Linked DNA regions of Caenorhabditis elegans. The protein of the gene in region 1 purifies or fractionates together with the protein of each later gene. This does not show direct contact. Each region holds a gene or a part of one and is shown in the gene's direction. Other genes may lie near its edges.

What was found.
Region 2: the proteins of zfp-1 (region 1) and apb-1 purify together in Caenorhabditis elegans (affinity purification with mass spectrometry, with the first as the bait; one study listed by BioGRID). This does not show direct contact.

The regions. Positions count from the first base shown.
Region 1 is NC_003281.10:8,794,520-8,802,503, forward strand, and holds the start of zfp-1 (Zinc finger protein zfp-1), read left to right. Parts: upstream 1-3,878; 5' UTR 3,879-3,945; intron 3,946-4,013; 5' UTR 4,014-4,035; coding exon 4,036-4,144; intron 4,145-4,339; coding exon 4,340-4,595; intron 4,596-4,875; coding exon 4,876-4,966; intron 4,967-5,013; exon of another isoform or gene 5,014-5,015; coding exon 5,016-5,126; intron 5,127-5,966; coding exon of another isoform or gene 5,967-6,182; intron 6,183-7,984. Other genes in the region: F54F2.6 (uncharacterized protein), read right to left, coding at 5,967-6,182. UniProt on the Caenorhabditis elegans protein: Recruits the histone methyltransferase dot-1.1 to chromatin to methylate 'Lys-79' of histone H3 and activate transcription. Recognizes and binds histone H3 methylated at 'Lys-4' (H3K4me) at the promoters of target genes.
Region 2 is NC_003281.10:2,591,929-2,599,797, reverse strand, and holds the start of apb-1 (AP complex subunit beta), read left to right. Parts: upstream 1-2,763; 5' UTR 2,764-2,775; coding exon 2,776-2,812; intron 2,813-2,867; coding exon 2,868-3,109; intron 3,110-3,926; coding exon 3,927-4,320; intron 4,321-6,440; coding exon 6,441-7,557; intron 7,558-7,869. Other genes in the region: mdt-19 (Mediator of RNA polymerase II transcription subunit 19), read right to left, coding at 244-484, 1,333-1,600, 1,647-1,737.

The DNA.
Region 1 (7,984 bases):
TCAAGTTTCAGTCGGCTTCCAAATTTTATATTCAACTGTAGTGTTAATATTTTTACCTTTACAGATGTCTGTAATTAATTCGATTTATCTAAGTAATGACATATTTTCTCGTTAGTAATTTTCTACGTCTAAAAATCGTCTGATTTTACTAAATTGATTTTTTAAAAAAACTATTAGCTCGTATCGAATGCACCACATCTGACGCCGTGTTTTGATAGAGATGACAGTATTCCGGCAACAATACTTTTACTATATTACTACTGTCTGTTTTCTTTATTCTGGACACATTCCTTTTGTGTGAGAAGGTGAGTGTTCGTGTAGGTCTACACAGAGACTAGACAATCAGACAGTATCGTCAAACATTTGTGTGTGTACGGGCGCCGCGGGTAATAGGAGCGCGCGCGCGCGAGTGTGAGAGACATGCAAGAGAGTAGAGACGCAGACAAATAGTGGTGTGCGCGCTTCGATTTCAAATACAAACATTCGGGACAGGATACCGTACTCCATTTCGACTTTCTTTTCGATTTCGATTCCACCCACCACAGACAACCATTTTGCCCCCTTCATTTTGATGATGTTTTGTTTACGCAGACACATCCTCCTCTTCTCGCCCAAACAACCAAACAATAGGCGTTAATGTATTCAATAACCTTGAAAGTTTGTACGTTTCCAGGAATATGAGTCATTTTTAAAAATAATTCTTATCAGTTTTGAGTCCTGCGTTTATATAATAAACGGCACGTCGAACATTGGAAATTGCTGTTGAAAAAGTCGATTTTTTTTGGTGAATTGCCACAAACAGTGAATCTTTTTTGTCAATTCCTATACAATGTAGACATGAACATAAGAATCAGAGAGAATCGAAAGGAAATATTTCTTATTAATTATCTGCTTTTCATTTTTACAATAGAATAGATTTTCTGAAAGTTTAATTCGAATTAAGAGAGCACATAACGAAACGAATATTCAAAATATTACTGAATACAATATGTTTCAACTGAAAGACCCTCAAAAAGGAAACGCTGGTCCCCAGATGAACAACACTCAGAGACGATGTTGGTGAGAAAGTGAGCAGGATCTGCTCCCACTGCTTTTGCTCATCGAACACCGCGAGTTTCCTCTACATTCTAAGTCTAACACTCTTACTATGTCCAATCGATGAAGAAAAGACGACCCCAAGAGGGAAAGACGGATTCTTTTGAGGTGTGTGTGGCTGTGTGTTGGAAGTGGGAGGGAGATGGATAGATAGTCGGAGGGATCAGACGCGAAAGTAATCTACGTCTCCGTATCCCTCGCCAGTTGAATAGCCGGTCACATCGGACATACGCGAGTGCGACCCGACGACAAAAGAGAAATAGAACAGCCTGAAGAGGTGTTAGAGAAATAGAGAAACGCGAAGAGGGGTTCGCATGAGAGACATAGAGAAGCTATGGTAGTAGAGAGACCCCCACTAGGGTCTGCTGCATCCCGTCTTCGTCCTCGTCCTCCTCTTCTCCTCTCTGTTCTGTTCTTTTTGCCTCGTCGCGTGTATGTATGCATTCAGCAGTCAGTCTGCATCTATCCATACTCTCAACCACAGCTGGGACACACTCAATCAAAAGTTACACTTGTTTTTCGCCTCTCCATCTACTTCTCGCTTTTCCCAGTCAAGTCTTGTTTTTCCTTCTGTTTTTCCACTTTTTTCCTTCCACGGACGTCGTCGTCATTCTCATTTCTCGTTTTGTCGATGTTGTTCGAGGCTTTATTCGGTCTAAATCCGATCGATATGTGATGGGTCAAGTGTCAGGTGCTCAGCGCCTTGTCGCCCCACAAAGAAAAAGACAAACCGTGTTGTCGCTGTCCGAGACATTTGTGCCGATTTTCTGTTCCTTTCGGCTACTATCGTCAGTCTGACGACCCAATTTTTTCTGGTCTCTGACACTTATTGTCATTATGAACACCTTTTAGATATCTTCAGTGAGGAAATTGTCGGAAAATTAATATAATTTCTATGGTTTTTCATTATTAATTTTTATAGTCAAATTTAGAAAACAAATCCTCGATAAAATTTATTTATTTATTTTTGATTCATCAAAAAAGAATTTTTAGCCTTGAAAAATGTTTAAAAACCAGTGAAGTTCTATTAATAAATTCTCTTGCTTCTTAAATTTTTTTTTTTAATTTTAAAAACTTTTTGTTAAAGATGTTAATTTTCTGTAGAAATTTTTATTTCACACAATAACCATTAGTTAAATTAAATTTATAACTGTTCCCCAAGTGGTTTTAAAAAATCAATAAAATGATTTCTTGACTATCGTAATCCTTCGTGACCCCTCTGTAGAGATTTTCTTGTGTTATGCAAGTACCCCATCGTAAATTTTCTTTTCTCGATACCCGAAGTATATCCGATCACATCTGTGTCTATGATGATACTGATTACTTTTCCATTTATATTTATCACCTTGACCGTTAATTTTCAATATTTAATTTTTCAATGACAATACAATGTTAATTTTTATAAGGTTATGTGGTAGAAAATGTTAGGCGAGGTTTAGAGAAAAATATAAAAGTTTATTAACTTTATTTCGCCCTTGGACGATTTTTTAAGCATCCAAATGACTCTTTTCATTTAAATTTTTATATTTTCCGATCCGTATATTATTTTCTTTTCAACTAATTTTATTAAAACATACGGCTATATGAAATAAAGCACTGGAACGCAGAAAGTTAGAGAGAAAAGGAGCAAAGCTTCCCCTTCTTGTTTGTATGTATGTGCTCCTTGTGTGCATGTGACATAGAAGAGCCGACGTCGCTGCGCCCCTGTGAGAATTCATGCATGCTTGGCACGATGCCAAGTTGTATGTGTCTATCTTCACCTCCTTTTTCTTCTTCTTCTCGATTGCTTCTCCCTCTCTTCCAAACGAGAACGTGATGTCGGTCTCTCCTACTGTAGGCTACTAGTTGTCTGTGTCTAATACTCTCTCATTGTCAAAGACTTCAAATCGGGAAGATTGTGATGGTGGTTTGGTGACGAGAGAGAGATAGAGAGAGAGAGAGAAAGACACTGACGATGTCGTCGTTATCAGTGTATTTCTTCTTCTTCCTTTTCTTCCATACACAATCTGTAATTCTCTGTCGTTCTCTCAATTTGATTATCACTATTAAATGTATATTCATTCATTCACGCCCATAACTTTTTTGACTTGACTGAATCGAAAATCGAATCGATGGCCGCTCCCCGATAATAAGAAGGAGAGAGAAAAGAGAGACGCTGCAAAAATTTTTTGTCTTTGAATGACCTCTATTCGTCGTATTGATTGACTGCTGCCGTTTGTCTTTTGTGACGAAATTTTGTACAGTTCCATTTTCTTTTATTTCAAAAATTGAGAGAAAAATATCTAATGCTCGGCGTTAAATTTTCAATGAAAAATTTGTTCACTCAAATTGGCCCGAAAAGTCCGAAATTCATAACGAAACTTTTCAATAATTCCTCAAACTTTTTTATAGCAGTTTTACCTAAAATTCTAAATTTTGAAGAATTAGCCTTTATGCAAAATTTTGAATGGCCATAAAAGATTTTTCAATGAATTTCTGAAGAGTTTCGTAATTTGATATTTGATATTTTCAAATGGATTTTTAGTGTATTTTATAAAGCAAAACATTCTTCAATTTATTTTGTTTTCCGAATCTAATATTTAAATATCTCTATGAAACTTTAATACTATTTTTGATACGCATTCAATTATAGATAATTGTTAAACGTTCTTTTTTCTCCGAAATTAGGTTATTTCTATTTGTTCTGTTTCTTTATTTGTCGCTCGGCCATAATAAATCAATAATTTACGGCAATATACCTCTAATCTCCCCTTTTCTGCGTAATTTTTACCGAATTTTTACAGCACATCACCATACAAATGAGCCACGCCTGACCTCTTGACCAGCTACAGTAACCCAAAAAAAATTATCGTAAGTTTTTTCGAATTTTTGTGGAAAATTTGTGAATTGTATTCTCAAATGGATAATTATTTTTACAGAGTCCCCCGAAATTGCTGAAAAATGAAGGAGATGGTAGGTGGATGCTGCGTTTGTGCAGATGAGAATGGTTGGACAGACAATCCATTGATCTATTGTGATGGAGAGAATTGTGAAGTTGCAGTACATCAGGGTGAGTAGAAGTTCACAGAAATTGAAAAATTTTAGTATTTTTCCCGATATTTCGAAAAAAAATCCAACGTTTCCAAGCATTGTTTGAAGTTTTGCTTTTTTCCATCTTATTAGATGAATTTGATTTTTTTTTTTCGATTTTCTCTCAAAAAACCAAATTTTCCGATTAGGCCCCACCGAATTTTTATCATTTCAGGATGTTATGGAATTCAAGAAGTACCCGAAGGCGAATGGTTTTGTGCAAAATGTACGAAAGCATCAGCTATGATGCCCGGCAGTATAAATGAGGCAACATTTTGTTGTCAATTGTGTCCGTTTGACTATGGAGCATTGAAAAAAACTGATCGAAACGGATGGGCTCATGTAATTTGTGCACTTTACATTCCAGAAGTGCGATTTGGGAACGTACATAGTATGGAACCAGTCATATTAAATGATGTACCAACTGATAAGTAAGTTTTTCTCAAGAATATGGGTAATTCAATATGAAAAATGTGTCTGATCAAGGGTGAATATTTTTTGAGTTTTCGACTTTCGATTTTTTGACTCTCTGGAAAATCTCAAATTTTAAAAATTTCCGGTACATTTCTGAACCGAAATTTTTTTTCCAGTTTTTCGATTTTTCGACTTTCAAAAAAAAAACAACAACAAAAAATCTAAACATTTTAAACTCTTTCTTTGAAAAAATCTTGAAGTTTTATTACTATCTCGATCAATTTATATATTTTATAGATTCAATAAACTGTGCTACATCTGCAATGAAGAACGTCCAAATGATGCGAAAAAAGGTGCATGTATGTCGTGTAACAAGTCGACGTGCAAGGTATTTTTATTTTTCTTTAAATTTCTTGTAATTTAAACGAAATTTTCAGAGGAGCTTTCACGTAACCTGTGCTCAGCGGAAAGGACTTTTATGTGAAGAAGGGGCAATAAGTCGGAATGTCAAGTATTGTGGTTATTGTGAAAATCATTTGAAGAAAGCGGTATGTTTATTGAAGATTTATGCGCTAAAAATTGAGAAAAAAGTATTAAAATCGATTTCTTAATATTTTAAGAAAATCAGGCCAGATTATCACTTGGTTTTTCATAGAAGTGAAAATAAAAATAGAACTACAGTACCCATCAATTTCAAATATTTAATCCCTAGTCATACTGGTGCTGTGAAGGTCCGATGCTTGATAGACCAGGTGGATAGACACCTGTCTCTTGAAAAACTAGAGATTGTACGGAGTATTAGAGATTCAGAGAAGTAAAAATATGAATACAATCGTGTGTGCCCGCTTCTTCTCTGCATCTCTTCTCAGGATACTCTATTTCTGAGTCACAGCATTGGGACCCTGGAATAGCAACACAGCCATTGCGCTTCACTCTTAGAGTGAAAGAGATAGAGATGGAGAAAGAGACGTCCTCCGTCCTGTTTTCATATCTGCGTCTAAAATCTCTTTATCCTGAGAAAAAGAAACCGAAAGAGAGGTTGAGAGAGAGAGGGAGACATTGTCGAAGGAGGTCCGCGTGCTTCCACATACACATACACACACCATCCATTCAACACAACACACTTGAGAAGATGGAATAGACGAGAGAAGAGAGTACAGACGTTTAGACGAAATGAAATGGGTTGGGCCAACGGCTGGCTGGATGGATGGCTGACTGAGTGTGACAACGACAAATAGTGCTCGGGGGGGGGGGGGGCACTGAGAGAGATAGACGAAGAACTCGGAGAGACATAGACACAAAAAGGAACAAATTGCTGTCGGGCCAAGCGAGTTTGGAAGAGAAAGAGACGTGCATAGAGTGTCTCTCTCTCTCTCAATTTCATAAGCTTAGATGATTCTCTGCGTCTGCTCTTCGCCGCCCCTTCTGGACTTCTTTTTCTCGGGTGGCCCCCGGCGGCCGTTGTTTCGTCTGCGCTTCTTATTTTCCTCTTTATCGTCATCGTCGTATTCCTCGCTTTGTCCTGCTTTTTCGTTTTCTCCGTCCGTACGCACACATACATACACACGCACATAGTGAGGCAACATCATTCTCTTGTGCTTCATTTGGTTCTTCTTCGACGAATACTCGATAGATTTGAATATAGTCGTCGCCACGTCATACTCTACATTTTCCTGCTACATCATCCTTGCATCTCCCCACTTTCTCACTTGTTACGGTTTTTGCTTAACTCTCTACGTCTCTACTCACTCTCTCACCTACTTTCCTCTTCTCGTTGTGTTTGATGTCACCTTTCTCATCGTCTTCCGTCAATGGAGTTTTTTTGTCGCCAAAGAGAGACATTCACTCATTTTCTCTTCCGTCTCCCTGAAGTAGTTCTATGTTCTTTTTTTTTTTTTTCTAGACTTTGTCATTTAACATTTTTGTTTTACATTTTGGTACATTCACAGAATTATTTCTAAATCTAAATTAAACTTTTGATCTTGAAAGTAGGCCTATCATATAGGCCTCACCGCCTGCCTGCCTCACCTTAAGACGATCTTCGCCTGTTTCCAACTAAGTTGAATGTCTTGATTGTTCTCGGGGGTTGTCAAATTTTTGATGTTATTCTAATTCACCTAATTTAAATTAAACGGTAACAAATATCATAAAACCCTTTAGTTTTTTTTGAAAAAGTCTAATAATCTTTATTAGTTCTTTTTACTAATGAGGACGCTGCAAATTTTTGTTTTTTTTTTCAAAATTCAGCACAAACTTTTCCAAAACACTGAGCAATGTTTTGTTCCGTCTCTTTTCAATATCTAAGTCTCCCTTTAGCTGGTCTCTACACTTCTCCGAATATCTTCAACTTCTAAGTCTATCAATCATGGGATCCTTCATTGTTGTCTTACTTCCGCGCACCTCTCAACCCGGTAGACATTTTTGTATCGTACTGATCAAATGCAGGCAAAGGAGGAGAAGTGGGCGCCCAGGCGCTGGGTCGACCGGCGGTGGCCATTGTCGTCGCGTCGTCGTTGATGTCCTTCGCAGGATCGTCGCCGATTCGATTCGTTTTCTCTCTCCACCTCCTCCTCCGCACAGGCACACACACACACACAAGTTTTCGTTTTTTCGGAGTGCTGGTAGTGGTTTTACTCGCTTCCTATCCTTCACTTGTTACCCCTGTCGCCTCTGTTGATTGCACTCCCTTCGTTTTTCCCGTTGCAATCATCCGATCGGAGGACTCTTCGATGTTTGTCTGCATGTCTGATCACTCTTCCGATCAAATGATGCCTTAGGCATCCTTGTCGTGTCGCCGCGCTCTCACTTGTTTCCACCCTCTTTCTATTGCCGTGTCGATTCGATGACTGGTGAATGATCGGTGTCCTCTGCCTGGCCCCGAGACGGCGATGCTGTGGCTGCGACTGCTGCTGTGTGTTTCTCATTTTTGTGACTGAAGGCTTTGTGTGTGTACGTGTCTCTACGCGCATAGATGTGTGTATGTCTCCAAAGCAGCAAAATGCTTAAGACTCTGCGTCTCTTTTGCGCAATCGAGACGAAGAAACCTTGGAGAATCAGACGACGATAAGGAATGAGGATATGAAGAGAGAAAGACAGTTAGAAGAAGAGAGAGTGACGTGCACAATGAGAGAAAGAGAGAAACATTCAATCAGCCTGTGGAGGGTGGCTGGTGGTCGGTCATACACTCTCATACGCATAGTCATTCACAACATTGGGCGCACGGTTTTGTTGGCTTGCTGCCAATAATAACTTTAGTGAAAGAGATGTAGAGAAGAGAAGAATAGAAATCGCCCGATTTTGTCGTTTTTCAAAGTTGATTTCTTATCATTTTACTTTGTCTGTCTTATCGTTTACAGGGCTTCCCAGTATTTTCACAATTTCTTGAATTTATCTTGGTTCAGGTGTG
Region 2 (7,869 bases), 6.2 Mb from region 1:
GGTGAAAAATAAGGCAAAATAACAATAAATAAATAATAAAACGGAAATTCAAATCGGAATTTGGCAAAAACTGAGATTTTTTCAATTTAAAAAAAATCATATAAATTTTAGAAATTTTTTTTGAATTTTTTTATCATGATATTCGGTCATTGAGGCACTGGCGCTACACCACCTTTAATAAATACGACTTTTTTATTCATTTTTTTTCCTCAAAATTGAGCTTAAACCCACCCAAAATCCCCCCTAAAACTCCATTGGCTCATCGGCGGCTCTTTTTCTTTTCTCCGCATCGCCTAATTCTTCTTTTTCCTTCTTTCTCTTCTTATCCTTCTTCTTTTTCTTGTGTTTCTTCGGAAATCCTTTCTCCGTCTCATCATCATCAAATCCATATGCGTCGTATTGTTGCCGAACCCGTATTAAATTCAATTTCTCGCTGTACGCCAGATTTGGTTCCTCTTTTCGGCGCTCGAATAGGTGGCGATATCTGGAAAAATTTAATTTTAATTAATTAATCTTATTTTGTGGAATTTTTATCGATTTCGCGCAAAAAATGACAAAAAGAAGTTAAAAATGCCTCCCGTAAATCTACAAAATTAAAGGCGCATGGTCTCTTGCGCTGGTTGGGTCTCACAACGATCACTACAAAAATGCAAGAATTTGTCTGAAAAATAGCGGAAAAATTATTTAAAAGTTTAAAATGTTGGTGTTGACCTGTAAAATTGAATATTTAATCTTATTTTGTGGAATTTTCATCGATTTCGTGCAAAAATTGGACCAAAAACTATTAAAACCGTTGGGTCTCGCAGCGATTTCTACAAAAATAGGAGAATTAATTAAAAAATTTCGGACATTTGATTAAAACGTTCGAAATAGTGGCGATAAGCTTATTTTGTCGAAACTTCACCGTTTTCGTTCAAAAATTGGGCTAAAACTGTTAAAAAATTATTTCCGTAAATCTACAAAATTAAAGGCGCATGGTCTCTATTGATTGTTGAGTCTCGCAACGATCACTACAAAAATGCCAGAATTAATTCAAAAATTTGCGGAAATTGAATTAAAATGTTCGAAAGAGTGGCGCTGTGCTTATTCAGTTGAATTTCCACCGTTTTTGTGCAAAAATTGGCCTAAAACTATTTAAAATGCCACCAGTAAATCTACAAAAATTAAAGGTGCATGGTCCCTATCGTCCGTTGGGTCTCGCAGCGATTTCTACAAAAATGGGAGAAATGTTTAAAAATAGCGAAATTCCGCAATATTTTGCGGAAAACATCAAAATTAATGGGAAATTTCAATTTTAAATCAGAAAAATCTAGAACATCGTCGAATTTGCACCTTTCATCGACGGGCCCAGCAGAAAGCTTGAATCCCTGCATCGAAGAGCTCGTCAAATTCGAAATTTCCTTGTGAATCGGCGGTTTTTCGATGAGAGCTCGCAGTGAGCTCGCCTCTTTCGTCGCGTCCAAGTGAAATTCGCCGATTATATGCGGCAAAAACGAGGAGATTTTCTCCTTAACTCGTCTGCTACCACTGAATCCTCCCTCAACAGGCCCGAGCTCGTACGACATGAGAAGATCGTGATTTCCCTGAATTTCGCTGTACGCTGGAATAAAAAATTGGGTTTTGAGCAGATTTTTGAAGAAACTCACGTGGAAGTAGAGCTTTTAATGTGTAAAATGGCTCGTTTTTCGAGCTTTTGCTCTTTACGGGCGGCCCCGAGCAGGCCGATGGCTCGTTCATGCCTGAAATTGTAATTTTAAGCCGGGAGATTTTTAAAATTCAATTAATTTAATTGAAAGAGGGAAAATATTGAAAAAAAAGTGGGATTTTTCCAGCAAAATCCTAGAATTTGAGTGAAAAAGTAAGCTTTTTTTTGGTTTGAAGTTTGTTTTGAAACATTTTTGAGTCAATTTCGCCTAATTTTTGGGGTTTCAGCGGTAAAAAAAAACTTTTTTTTTCAGTTCTAAAGACTAAAAAAGTACAGATTTAGGCCTTTTTTTAAATTTTTTGTTTGAAACTAGATTCGAAACAAGTCATTTTTCGCAATATTCGGCTAATTTCAGTAGTTTCAGAGATTATAAGTCTGCAAAGTTGAAGATGACCACAGGGATTTCAAAAATATTCCAGAAAACTGGAATGTTTCTGGAAAAAAAAAATCGAAAAACTATATAAAAAGTGAAAAAAGGTCAGAAATTCGTTTTTTTTTTTAACTTTTCTTTTGCTTTAATTTGCGCGGGAATTCAAAAATAACTTGGAAAATGCAATATTTCGGAAAAAATTAGCCAGAAACATGAAAATTGGTGTAACGAACAAATTGTGGATAATTTTTGGTCAAAATAGTAAATTTTTAATAACAATAATTCATATTTTATCAACTTTATGCGAAAAATGTATCAAAAAACCAGATTCATCAACGATTTCTTTCAAAAAAACATTAAAAAACGTTTAAAATCGAGAAATTAAAATAAAAATAAAATAAATCCAAAAACGCGCAAAGGCTCCCCACTGACGCGTTTCCCCGATTTGCTTGCGCACTTTCCGTGGCCACTTTTATCCCTTTTTCTCTGTCCTTCTCTCTCCCTTTTCGGCAATATTTGGAGGTTTTGCGGGACGGAAATCTTTGCGCACACGGCAACTTATCGATTTTTCATTCTTTTCCGCCCAAAATTCTGCATCTCCGCCAACTTCTGCGGCTCCAATTTCCTTGAAACCTCGATTTTATTACGAAAATTTGAATTTTTACCCTTTTTCACATTTATCTTTCAGGGGTATCACAAGATGACCGACTCCAAATATTTCACCACCACAAAGAAAGGTATTTTTATATCGTTTTCAATGAATTTAACTCAAATTTCCAATTTTTATTGCAGGAGAAATATTCGAACTGAAAAATGAGCTCAACTCTGACAAAAAGGAGAAGAAAAAAGAGGCTGTGAAGAAGGTTATCGCCAGTATGACAGTCGGAAAAGACGTCAGCGCTCTATTTCCCGATGTGGTGAATTGTATGCAGACGGATAATGTTGAATTGAAGAAATTAGTCTATCTGTATTTGATGAATTACGCGAAATCGCAGCCTGATCTCGCGATTATGGCGGTTAACACGTTTGTTAAGGTAGGGGAGACAGCTTGAGAAGGTTCAAAAGTAGAAAATTGGCTCAAAAAGTTGTAAAAATTGCTCGAAAAGCTGAAAATTCGCTCAAAAAGCTGAAAATTTTGCTCAAACGCTGAAAATTTGCTCAAATGCTGAAAATTCGCTCCAAAAGCTGAAATTTTGCTTAAATATATAAGAAATTCGCCCAAAAGCTGCAAACACTCCCGCGCGAATTGTCTTTGTTTTTTCTCATTTAAAACTTGAAAATAAAATTATTTTAAATTTAAAAATACCATTATTATCCCAGACGTTTCAGATTTCCCGGCAAAATTCTCCGAATTTTCGTAAAACCGGGGAAAAATTATAAAAATGGCATTTTTCCGGGGAAAAGCAAGAACAAACCAGATTTTTTCAGCTTTTTTCGGTCGTTTTTCGGAAATTTTTAATAATTTTGCACTTTTTTCAGGACTGTGAAGATCCAAATCTTGAGAAAATAGTGGAAATTTTCCCCAAAAAGCTGTTAAATTTGCAGAGGAGCAACTTTTTATCACTTTTGAGAGGAAAATTACATTTTTTGCGGGTTTTTTCCTTCAGTTCATTTTTACTCAAAAAGCTGTTAAACTTGCTTAAAAACTGTAAAAATGCCCCGCGCGAATTTTTTTTTTGTTTTTTCTCGTTTAAAGCTTGAAAATAACATTTTTTAAATCAAAAATACCATAATTTTCCTCGAAAAATCATTAAAATGACAATTTTCCGGGAAAAAAACAGGAAAAAACCGATTTTTCAGCTTTTTTCGGTCATTTTTCGGAAATTTTCAATAATTTTCCTAATTTTTCAGGACTGTGAAGATCCGAATCCTCTAATCCGTGCACTTGCTGTCCGTACAATGGGATGTATTCGCGTTGAAAAGATCACCGAATACCTCTGTGATCCTCTCCGTCGATGTATGAAGGATGAGGATCCATACGTTCGAAAAACCGCCGCAGTCTGTGTTGCAAAGCTTCACGACATGAATCCGGCTCTTGTGAAGGAGCAGGGATTCGTTGAGTTGCTCAACGATCTACTCTCCGATGCCAATCCGATGGTTGTGGCGAATGCGGTTGCCGCGTTGACTGAAATGAATGAGCAACAGACTGTAATTGAAGTGAATAGTCAAATGGTTAATAAACTATTGACTGCGTTGAATGAGTGTACTGAATGGGGACAAGTATTCATTTTGGATGCTCTTGCAGGTAAAAATTCAGCAAAAAAGTGTTGAAAATCGTGGAAAAAAAGTGAAAAAATCGTAAAATTGAGCAATTTTTCACCTAAAAAACTTAAAAAAAGCTTTCAAGGTGTGTAGTCGAATTTTTTCAAATTGCCTTATTAGACTCAAAATTGTCTGAAAGCATCGAATTTTGTTAATGAAACTTCTCGATCGATTTTTTACACTTTAGAATTCCAGCTTCAAGAGATTAAAAAAAACCAGAAAACCTACATATAAATAAGATTTTTCGGTTTTCAAATTCTTTATCTGCCGATCCTGACGAATTTCGCATGAAAAAGCTAGAAAATTGTATTTTTTTTTCCTAGAAAACCCCAAATTTACAATAAAAACCTCTAATTTCAGATTTCAGAGGCGAAAACTCGAAATTGATATTCAAAATAGCTTCAAAACCGAGAAAAATCCAATAAAATAAATAATATAGTTCTGAAAAACGCTTTAATTTTAAAATTTCGAAGTAAAACATTTTTTTTCTTCCTAGAAAATTAGAAAAAATCTGCAAAAATTTAATTTTCTGATAGTTTTTTTTTTGAGAAAAATTGAAAATTTGCAGTTGGAAAAAAAAAGAAAATTGAAATCCAGAGAAAAATCTGAAAACAAATCGAAATTTTATAGTTTTTAACAGAAAAAAAATCGATTTTTTACACTTTAAAATTATAGCTTGAAGAGATTTCTAAAAAACGAGAAAATTCAATTATTAGCTTACATTTTCTATTAAATACAAAATTTAGATTTTTCGGTTTTCAAATTCTTTTGCTGCCGATCCTGACGAATTTCGCATGAAAAATCTTGAAAATTGTATTTTTTTTCTAAGAAAACCCCAAATTTGCAACAAAAACCGCTACTTTCGAATTTCAGCGGCGAAAAGTCTTTATTTTTCCGAAACTGATAGTGAAAATAGGTTTAAAAAGCACAGCAAAACGTTTTAATTTTGATATTTCAAAGTATTTCTATGACAAAAAATTCCAGAAACTTTATGAAAATTCTGATCTGATACTCAGTTTTAGTAATATAAGCCGGTTTTTTCCTCAAAAAACCAAAAGTTGAAAAAAAATTCCATTAAAAACTTAGACCTGAAAAATAAAAAATTCTAGAGAAATTTCTAATTTTTTGCTCAATTTGCAAAAAAAAAAACTCCAAAAAATCTTAAATTCCAGGCTACATATTTCCACCATTTTTTTTTGGTTTTTTCTCTCGAAATTCTAGTTCTTCATCATTTTTTCTATTATAGAGACGCAGAAAAATGCGTATTTTTGAAATTGATGTGTGCAAGTGCGCTCCACGGCCAACTGTTAGGTCTCGTTAGGCATTTGGCGGCAAAACGCTAAATTTTTTGTAAAATTCGGCTCAAACATCTGTAAAAACAATTTTTTCCAAAAAATGAAGAAAAATCTGCAAAAATTTCATTTTCTGATGGATTTTTGAGAAAAATCGCAAATTTATAATTTTTTTTTTCAGGAAAATTGAAAACTCCCGAGCTTCTACTAGGAAAAATCTAAATCGCGCTTGCATGAAAATTGTAGGAAATTTGCAAATTTTCGATTTTCCAAAAAATCCTAAATTTCAGGCTAAAACAATTTTTAAAAATGCAAATTAATTTCAAATAATCAAATTCTTTAAAAAAAATCGTTTTTTTTTTCGATATTTTTGGTTTTTAGCTTCGAAATTCCAGCCATTTTTGCTCAATTTTCCATAAAATCTTAAATTCCAAGTTGAAAAACTTGAAAAAAAAAGAATTAATTTAAAATAATTAAATTCTTTTAAAAAAATCGTTTTTTTTTCGATTTTTCCGATTTTTAACATTGAATTCCCGCCTTTTTGCTCAATTTTCCAAAAAAAAAATCTAAAATTCCAGGCTAAAAAAATTAAAAAATGCAAATTAATTTCAAAAAATAAAATTCGAGAAAAAACGTTTTTTTGTTAAATTTTTTTAAAAAGATTTTTCAAAATTTTTAACATCGAAACTCCCGCGTTTTTGCTCAATTTTCCATAAAATTTTTAAATTCAAGCTAAGAAAGTTAAAAAAAAGCGTTTTTTTTTGTTGATTTTTTCCGGCTTTTTTCCAAAAAAAAAAATCTAAAATTCCAGGCTACACCCCACGAGACGAACGTGAAACTCAAAACATTTGTGAGCGAATCTCTCCCCGTCTGGCTCACGCCAACGCCGCCGTCGTTCTCTCCACCGTAAAAGTGCTCATGAAGCTGATCGACATGATGCCAGCAGATTCGGACTTTATCACCCAACTCACGAAGAAGCTCGCACCACCAATGGTTACCCTGCTCTCGGCGGAGCCCGAAATTCAATATGTCGCACTGCGAAACATCAATTTGATCGTTCAAAAACGCCCCGACATTTTGAAACAAGAAATGAAGGTGTTCTTTGTGAAATATAATGATCCGATTTATGTGAAAATGGAGAAGCTGGATATTATGATTCGACTGGCTCAACAGAATAATATCGCTCAAGTGCTCAGTGAGCTCAAGGAATATGCCACCGAGGTTGATGTGGATTTTGTTCGGAAATCTGTTAGAGCAATTGGAAGATGTGCTATTAAAGTTGAAGCTAGTAGTGAGCGATGTGTTCAGACCCTGCTGGAGCTCATTCAGACAAAAGTCAACTATGTTGTACAAGAAGCCGTCGTTGTGATTAAGGATATCTTTAGAAAATATCCGAATAGATATGAGAGTATTATTTCTGCACTCTGTGAGAATCTGGACACGCTGGATGAGCCTGAAGCCCGGGCTTCAATGATTTGGATTATTGGAGAATATGCTGAGAGAATTGATAATGCTGATGAGCTCCTCGAGAGTTTTGTTGAAGGATTCCATGATGAGAATACTCAGGTTCAACTGCAACTTCTCACCGCTGTCGTCAAGCTTTTCCTGAAGCGTCCCGGAGTTGCTCAGGCTCTTGTACAACGTGTGCTCTCACTGGCCACTCAGGATAGTGATAATCCGGATCTTCGAGATCGTGGATTCATCTATTGGAGACTTCTGTCTGCTGATCCAGCTGCGGCGAAAAATGTTGTGCTCACTGAGAAGCCGCTTATTTCGGAGGAAACTGATCTACTTGAGCCATCGCTTTTGGAGCAACTTGTTTGTCATATTGGAACACTGGCTTCTGTCTATCATAAGCCACCATCGGCGTTTATTGATCCGGCAAAGGCACCGCTTCGGCAGATTAATCCGATTCCGGCGGCGAAATTGTGGGTTTTTTTGGGGATTGGAGTTCCTGTAAAATCGGGCAAAAAAAAAATTTTTTTTTTCAGAAAATGAAGAAAAAAAAAACAAGAAAACAATCGGAAAACTGTATTTTCTGTTAAATTTTTCGAAAAAAATCCAAAAATCCGCAGATTTTACTAGAAAAAATCTGGAAATTTTCCTTTTCTCATAGATTTTTAAACAAAACTCGAATATTTATAGTTTTTTTTTTTAAACAAAAAAAAACATTTTATTTTCAAGAAAATGGAAAAATCCCGAGCTTTTACTAGAAAAATGGAAAAAAAAAATCATTTTTC